2 linked regions of the Danio rerio genome follow. The main gene of each other region encodes a partner of the protein of the gene in region 2 in a complex. Links are inferred from orthologs where the notes say so. Each region holds a gene or a part of one and is shown on either strand. Other genes may lie near its edges.

What was found. The genes of interacting proteins can lie anywhere in the genome.
Region 1: the proteins of ptar1 (region 2) and rabggtb are in contact, whole or in part, in a crystal structure (PDB 6O60), measured with the Homo sapiens proteins. The link is inferred for Danio rerio from reciprocal best matches to the Homo sapiens genes PTAR1 and RABGGTB. Residues at the interface, in NP_001093136.1 of Homo sapiens: Val61, Lys62, Leu65, Pro66, His69, Leu73, Arg76, Leu97, Asn98, Asp100, Phe101, Thr102, Thr103, Asn106, Lys109, Glu110, Leu113, Ile141, Arg144, Trp145, Pro192, Ser193, Tyr195, Ser199, Ile202, Trp203, Gln206, Val231, Ser232, His234; in NP_004573.2 of Homo sapiens: Lys6, Asp36, Tyr37, Cys40, Met41, Glu43, Tyr44, Ile89, Gly90, His91, Asp92, Asp136, Trp138, Glu140, Phe177, Asp178, Gly182, Cys183, Arg184, Pro185, Gly186, Ser187, Glu188, Ser189, His190, Gln193, Trp217, Glu221, Arg222, Pro225.

What each region holds. Positions count from the first base shown.
Region 1 is NC_133177.1:29,805,148-29,809,217, reverse strand, and holds the start of rabggtb (geranylgeranyl transferase type-2 subunit beta), read left to right. Parts: upstream 1-1,206; 5' UTR 1,207-1,264; coding exon 1,265-1,267; intron 1,268-1,506; coding exon 1,507-1,614; intron 1,615-1,697; coding exon 1,698-1,895; intron 1,896-2,001; coding exon 2,002-2,107; intron 2,108-2,938; coding exon 2,939-2,991; intron 2,992-3,096; coding exon 3,097-3,207; intron 3,208-4,070. UniProt on the Homo sapiens protein: Catalyzes the transfer of a geranylgeranyl moiety from geranylgeranyl diphosphate to both cysteines of Rab proteins with the C-terminal sequence -XXCC, -XCXC and -CCXX, such as RAB1A, RAB3A, RAB5A and RAB7A.
Region 2 is NC_133180.1:56,713,348-56,717,725, reverse strand, and holds the start of ptar1 (protein prenyltransferase alpha subunit repeat-containing protein 1), read right to left. Parts: upstream 2,803-4,378; 5' UTR 2,784-2,802; coding exon 2,698-2,783; intron 1,435-2,697; coding exon 1,265-1,434; intron 1,124-1,264; coding exon 1,057-1,123; intron 1-1,056.

The DNA of each region.
Region 1 (4,070 bases), on a different chromosome or scaffold from region 2:
TGTTTCGCAGATTGTAAATTGCCTACAGAGAGATCCGGTTGCCTTGTCATATCAGCTTGCCTTGCCATATTTATGTTTGTTGAACAACTAAGTTGATCAAATGTTAAGCTGAACAAAGTAACATAGTTACACCGTTCTTCCTCAGATTCCTTTTGTAACAAATGACGTCCTTTTGAAAGTAAAAATAAATAACCTGCCTGAAATTCTGTCTTGGTTGAAATTCTGTAGCCCCTTTTTGTATTAGTTTAAAAAAAAATGCAAATTATGTTGTGTATTTTTTCCAAATATTTTGCTATAAAATATTGTTTTGGGAAACTTTTTTATTTAGACATATTTAAGATTTGAATACTAGCTATGTTTTTGGAGCAGGGAATTTCAAATTGGGCTCAAAACACAATAGACACATTTAATAGACTCACTGATATGAAAGAAAGAAAAACATAAAACTGGATTAAAATCCAACAATTTTAAATATAAATCAAGTATTTGATTTTAATATAATTCACCCCCAAAAAATCAATTCTGTCATTTATTCAACATTGACTTTTTCCCAACCTTTTTTTGTTCTGTTGAACAAAAAAAAAGATATACTGAAGAAAAGCACCTGGAGGAAACCCACGTTAACATGAGGAGAACACGCAAACTCCACATAGAAACGCCAACTGACTCAACCGAGACTCGACCCAGTGACAACCTTGCTGTGTGGCAATCATGCTACCCACTGCATCACCGCATCGCCTGATATCCATAGTATGGAAAACTAATTCTATGAAATTCAATGGTAACAGGTTTTCAACATTCTTCTTCTTTTTGTGTTTAACAAAACCAGTCTAACGGGCTTGGAACAAGTAAAGATGAGTAAAGTACTGTCATTTTGGTGTGAATTATTTATTAAAAAGGAATGACAAACAGATTATTCCAAGGTAACTATTGTATTAAATTTGTGTGAATAAATAAATAAATGTACTATTAGTGAAATGCATGCAATAATGCCTTAAATAATATTTTGGACCAAACATAACTAGTTTTCCACAATATAATCTTTATATCCACAATATGATATTTCTTCAAGAAATTATACATTTTGTCATGCTTTGTGTCAGACGTCAACAAATAAACGCTTGTACCATCGGTGTACTACCGTCCCAGTTAAATGCGTTGTGTACCTTACGGGCCCCCGTAGAAATGACGAGCGTGTGATGATGTAATATATGTGTGACGGCTGAAGTCAGCCTGTAGTCCGGTCTCTTGTTTCTCCTGCAGAATGGTACGTAAACACAATACTGTTTTGTAAACGTTTAATTGTTTAATTAATAGAAATAGCATTCGGTTATCTGCGATAATACAGAAAAGAGCTTCGCACATTAAAATGAGAATAAAGAAAGCAGCATAAAGCTGTCATGTCACCGCCCAGTCACTTCAGCAGTTTACTAGTCTGGACTAAAACAAATGGTTTATTTTTCGAGCTTAATGTCTAAAACTGATTGCAGCTACGTTGTTTTACAGGGGACCCAGGTGAAAGACGTGACCATTAAGCCTGATGCTCCTAACACTCTCTTCCTAGACAAGCATGCAGACTATATTGCAGCTTATGGTTCAAAGAAGGATGATTATGTAAGTTAATGGCTTAAAAAATAAATATATAAATAATAATAATAATATGTATTGCTGATTAATTCCCAATTATTTTGCTCTAGGAGTACACACTGTCAGAGTATCTGAGAATGAGTGGCATCTACTGGGGTCTTACCGTGATGGACCTGATGGGTCAACTGTCCCGAATGAACCGAGAGGAGATTATAGAGTTCATCAAATCCTGCCAGCACGACTGCGGAGGCATCAGCGCAAGCATCGGTCATGACCCTCATCTCCTTTACACTTTAAGTGCTATACAGGTGAGTGGGAAAACTGCTAAACCCGAAGGACAACCAACAATCATATTTGATAAATGACTGTAGAAAATCCATCCATTGAAAATAAAACATGTTTTTTTCTCTTTAGATTCTGTCCTTGTATGATAGTGTTAATGCCATTGATGTGGATAAAGTGGTGGAATATGTTAAAGGACTGCAGCAAGAGGATGGCTCGTTTGCAGGGGACAAATGGGGTATTTAAATAGTTTTTTAATCAGTCTTTGTGTGAAAAAAAAAGTTATAATTTTAGTAAGGCTGCAAAATATATTATTTCAACATCGTTATGTGCAAATGTGAAAGTCACATTGCAGAATATATGTTTTACTGACAATTCTAGCTTACCCAATTCACCTGTACCCTGTCTTTGGACTTGTGGGGGAAACTGGAGCATCCGGAGGAAACCCACGCAAACACAGGGAGAACATGCAAACTCCACACAGAAGTGCCAACTGACCCAAGCAGCCGGCAACTTTGTTGCTGTGAAGCAGTTGTGCTACCCATTATGCCATTGTGCTGCACCTTCTTTAAACATATTTTTAAAAATGGTGATTTATGTTTTAATATGGAAATTATTCATAAAATTACTTTGCCTTTTCAGTAATATTTATTTTTATATGTATTGTAATAAAAAAAGGAGTTGCATCATAAAATGTCTTTTCTGTACCGTATAAAGTACAATTTTTACAAAGGTACAAAACTGTTCCTCAAGGAACATTATTTATACCAACGTGCACCTTTTTTCTGAGAGTGTAGACTCTCCAGAAAATCATAAATCAGTTTATTTCATTTGTATCTTTGTTTTATTTGAGTAATTTATGCTTTGAATTTGTTTATTATTTTTAATGCAGATTCACTCCCCTACAAAATCATTACAATCAATGTAAAATTATGAGTTCTTTTCTTATAGAGTTATCTTGTTAACTTCTATTTATATCGCAGAACTTCAAAATATTGCAAAGCCAGTTTTATTTCAATGTCATGCCCTAATTATTAGTGATTTTTTTTCCTTTTCTATTCTTTAATAGGTGAAATAGATACACGTTTTTCCTTTTGTGCAGTTGCAACTTTAGCACTACTGGTATGAATTACTTTATTTCCAAATATTTCATCTCAATACCTTTTAATAATGTTTCTTGGAATCTTTCTAGATTTTATGCTTCTAACAAGACAAATTTCTGTGTAGGGCAAACTGGATGTGATCAACGTAGACAAGGCCGTAGAGTTTGTGATGTCCTGTATGAACTTTGACGGTGGGTTTGGTTGCAGGCCTGGTTCAGAGTCTCATGCTGGTCAGGTGAGATATTTGAGCTGTGTTGTGCCCTTATTTGGTATATTTGGGATGCCCTGCAGTGCCAGAAATAAACCTTTCTATTAAGTAGCGATGTTTGTCAGCATGAATTATTTTAAAGATAATTTTGTTAACCGTATATAGGCAATTAAAAAAAAAATTACATGTTAATTATCTGATTTCATGTTTTTATAGCTTTTTAATAAAGCACTTTAATACACTTGAATGAAACCAAGTACTTCAAATAACTTGTTAATCTGTTACCAATAAAAACAAAAGGTTTTAGAAAGGGAAGTTAAATTATACATGTAAAAGAAGTAAATACAGAATGTGCAGTATTATGACCAAAAGCTTTATTGTTGATTATTGAAATGATGGTTATTAATAGTGAATATTATAATGCATAAAAAAACATTTTTGTTTTTAGGAAGAAAGCATTTTAAATTCTGTCTATAGACAAAACCTGTTGGTCTATGTAATGAATCTAGCATAGAATAGTTTTAAATTTATTTATGTTTTAAAAAAACCACAACAACATTATTATAACAAAGATATAACTAATTCCTTACTTAGATTACTTGCTGGAAGGGCATCCGCTGCATAAAAAATGTGCAGGATAAGTTAGCGGTTCATTCCACTGGGGCAACCCTGGATTAATAAAGGGACTATGCTGAAAAGAAAATGAATGAATGATTGCTTTAAAACATTAATTACAACGTTAACATTTAAAACATTACCCACAATATTAAACATTATTTACAAAATACTTTAAAAAACAAAACTTTTCAGCTGTTTCTAGTCTAACACCATTGATTGACTAATACATTCTTAAGCTTAACAGAAGCATGTGTGGAATACTCAACACTGCA
Region 2 (4,378 bases):
CTTTATTTTGAGCAGTATATAAACTATGTCCTTGTACAAAAAGCTAAACAGATGCATTTTTTTTTATCTTAGAATTTAGGTTTCTTGTATGAAGATGATTACAGTTTGTGGTAGATGTAAAAAAAATAGAAATGTCTGGCTAACAGTTTACTGCATGCAGGTAAATTTGATAAAAAAAAAACTAATATTCCTTATGTAAAATTATGAAAATAAAGTAGCATTAGCAGAATAGTATCCTTTTTGGTTTTCCTTTTTCTAAAATTAGACAATACATCTAATAAAAGCACCAACAAGAAAGATAGAGTGATGAAATGCTGACATAAAAGAAAGAAAGAAGGAGAATTTCTAAAAATACCATAGATGTGCATGCATTAGAAAGCACATGTAGATATAATGGACAATGTGTTTCCTCTAGGATTTTTTCCAGCTGTGGCGGCAGGCCTTTTTTTTTTACAGGTATACCAAATACCAGTGATGTTTTTTTCAATGACAAATGTCGTGAGTGCAGTATTACAGGTCGAGATTGCATTTATGTAATAGCCTACAGCATGCAGATCTCTTTGCTTGCGCGCCGATTTCCTCTGCTCGTGCACAAAACCTCTTGTGCGATCTCAAATAAACGCTGCTGTGGTGCGATTGAGTGTGTTTATGTAACGAGTATGTCTCCAGCATTTATTAGATTTGCTACGAATATTTATGAATGTCTCTAATAGACCTACAGAGCGATATTAATGCGTTCTCAAGTAAAATGAAATGGCTATACGTCGTGTTTGCTGGCCTCACCATGCACCTGTCAGTCAGTCAGTCAGTCAGTCTGTCTGTCAACACGTAACCTTAACGGGGTAAACAAATAATGCACAGCATTACTACGGTTACAGAGAAGTTTGCACTCTTATAAATCAGTCATCTTTTAATACGTGTTGATGCGATTATTACCCGCTATTAAAAAAATTTAATGTTTTGAATGAGAAGCTGTACTGTAGCCGTGGCGGGATGAATTTTGTCATGACGCCCCACCATGGAAGAATGAATGTAGAGGAAACCATGGAACTGTACCTGACATTCCACGCAGTGGTAAAATCTGGATTCAACAGAAGCAATGTGCTGGTTATATCCACCAGAGCTTGAAAAGAAGAAGAAAGAAATATCAGGGATTTTTTTTTCTCCAATGATGCAAAGTATTTAATAAAATACCATACTAATAAATGCTATACCATGCAAGGTGTTCAAAAAAGCAAGCTAACCCAATAATCTTTCATCCTACCTTCCCGGTCGAGCCACTGCTTTCTCTGCCTGTAGAGCAGGAGTTTATTATGCACATAAGGCAGCAGAAACTTGACACACCAGCTCTCCACTCCCAGCTTATTCTCCACCAGGACGATGGGGCTTCTGTTGTACCGGGCTTCAGGACACGGAATGAGGCCAATTTCATCACTGTGAATTCAAGATAAAAAGATGCTGGCTATTTTTGGATATACTAAATACTAAGGAGCTGATGGCAAACAGGGATGCATAACATCTCAGCTGACACATAGTCGCTTTAGATGCACCTCTCTGGCATAAATACAAGGGTGCCATAAGAGAAGGAAGTAATTAAACCATTGGCACAAGACACTGACCTTTTAATATGAAACAAACAGACAAAACGAAGACAAAATTAACAACTACAATTGAAAACAGAACATCCTAAAAAATTTTTTGTAGTGGACTAGAAACATGCCAGACAGTATGGATTAACATTTGAAATAATCTACTATGAAAATGTGTGTATAGAATTGTGGAGTCTGAATCAAAAGTCAGATCTTTAAAAGTCATACATGAACACTTGCATTAAATCAGGTACCTTTGAAAGTGTTCACATTTATGCTAAAAAAGTGAAGTTGTCAAAATAAACAAATAAACAACACATGCTTAGCTTCATTACAAAACCTAAATTATGTGGTAAATGATTTTATGAAAACTATATTTCGTATTTGCTCATATACCTTTCATTTCAAAAGCAAAAGGGCATATCTAATCTAAAACAAGAATAAAATTTTCTTAATTTCATTTTTAATTTGTGCGGCAAATCAGAAGTCATAACTGGACAGCTCTGATATGAGAAATAAAATTGGTGGTTACATTAATATCCACAAACCTGTGTATCAGTTTCCCGATAATGCTCGTTGTAACGTTAGATGTTGACTTAAGTGATTTGTCTGGGTACATTAAGATGCAAGATGTTGCAACAACATATTAAATCACTCCATATAACGTCACCAGTACGTAAACATGGACAATTCTTGAGATTATGCAAATAAATATATAAGGTGAACGATTATCTAATTACTAACTTAACCAGAGAATAACACTGACAGTACTAGCTACAGCATGACAAACATGCACATACTTTGACGTTTCGGTGAGAAAAACTTTTGGCGTTCGCACGGAGATGTTAAACAACACAAGTTTCTCCAGGCACGGTGTAAATGCAGTGCTGAAGAGCTCTGGTCTACAGTCTGCTGCTGGCCTGCGCCAAGCGCCAGCGGGTTAGAGCTGGTTAATAGCCAGTTAGCCAGAGCCAATGCCTGCGCAAGTTACAGACAGACGGCTGCTGCTCTATGTTCTCCCGGCGACTTACAGCGAGGGTCTGGACGAGCTGTTTAGACTAAACTAGAACACTGCGCAATGAATAACAATGCGAGTTCATATACGTACATGTTCGGGTTTCTTTTAAAGGCGTTAGTGATATCTTTCACAACTCTCTGGACCAAGACATCCACCTCCTCTTCCGACTCAGCCATTTTCAGAGCTCGAGTGACGTCAGCGCGGGTGACTCAACCTCATCCGGGACATTTCACAGTAACCGTACCATAACCTGACCATAACGCGTTTAAGGGAAAATACAGGATTTCAACAAAAAAAATCAAATCGCTTCAAATGTGAAAACCATGTTGGACAGCGTTAATACAAGATATTAGTTGGATAATCTCCTATATAAATATGCAATCCTAAACAAAGCAAAGGAAATCAATTTGAAAATTTTAATAACACGTTAACCGGTCAATGCATTTACCTCAAATATTTACTGATATTGCAGATACTTGTTCTTTCTGTCGGGAAACTGAGGAAACTGTGACACACATGTAAAATCTCATATTCTACATAAATAATAAACCACAATAAACAAAACAACGCTTCAAATTGAAATAAATTAAATGTTATTATTCTAGTCTCAAAAATAAAAATGAGGAATATCAGAATTATTAGCCCCCCTGTTTTCCCCAATTTCTGTTTAACGGAGAGATTTTTTTCAACACATTTCTAAACATAATAGTTTTAAAAACTAATCCATAATAACTGATTTCGTTCATATTTGCCATGATGACAGTACATAATATTTTACTAGATATTTTTTAACACACTTCTATGCAGCTTAAATTGACATTTAGGTTTAACTAGGTTAATTAGGTTAACTAGGCAGGCTAGGGTAATCAGGCAAGTTATTGTATGACAATGGTTTGTTCTGTAGACTATCAGAAAAATAATATATAGCTTAAAGGGGCTAATGATTTTGACCTTAAAATGTAAAAAAAAAAAAAAAATACTGTGAAAATTTCCTTGCTCTGTTAAACATAATTTGGAAAATATAAAAAAAAAAAACACAAATTCTAATGGGGGCTAATAATAATAATAATAATAGTAATAATAATAATAATTTTTTTACTTTTTTTTTTTTTTTACTTTTTTATATATATATGAAATTCTTTATTTACAAACAAAAACATCTTAAATCCTCTACCTCATTTGCTAATTTTTTAATTGAAATTGATTCCTTGCTTAAAGCTATGCATTTTTCTAACAACAAAAATTCTGCAAGTTAATGGAAACTTATGAATATGTAAGGCTTCCAGTAAGTTAGTCTCGGTTGCTTTCTGTTTTTATTCAATTTTGTACTTCCCCGTTCTTTATTTTGTTCTCTTTTTTTATTTTTTTATTTCTTATTTGGATACTTATTGTTCTTATCACCTTGTAACTGTAAGTTGTACCTTTCTCTTACAGATCACTTCCTAATTTACATTGTACATTTCTTCTTTTCTAAATAAAAGTAAAAAAAAAAAAAAAATACAGGTTATGTTTATTCATCATTAATTTTGTTTCTAATTCATTGTTGTAGTCAGAGTAAAGCAACACAGATGTAGGCTAATCTGATTGAGAATTATTTTATGATTTATTTACAAAACAATAAGCAATTCACAGACCTGTATTTCACTGAAAAAAATAAAATAAAATCTATGTAATGTGTATATTCATTAACTGTTAAGACTTGTTTACAGTTCCTCATTAAGCTTTTTTAGATCTGTAGACCTTAAGATGCAGGTAGATTAAGAATAAGAAT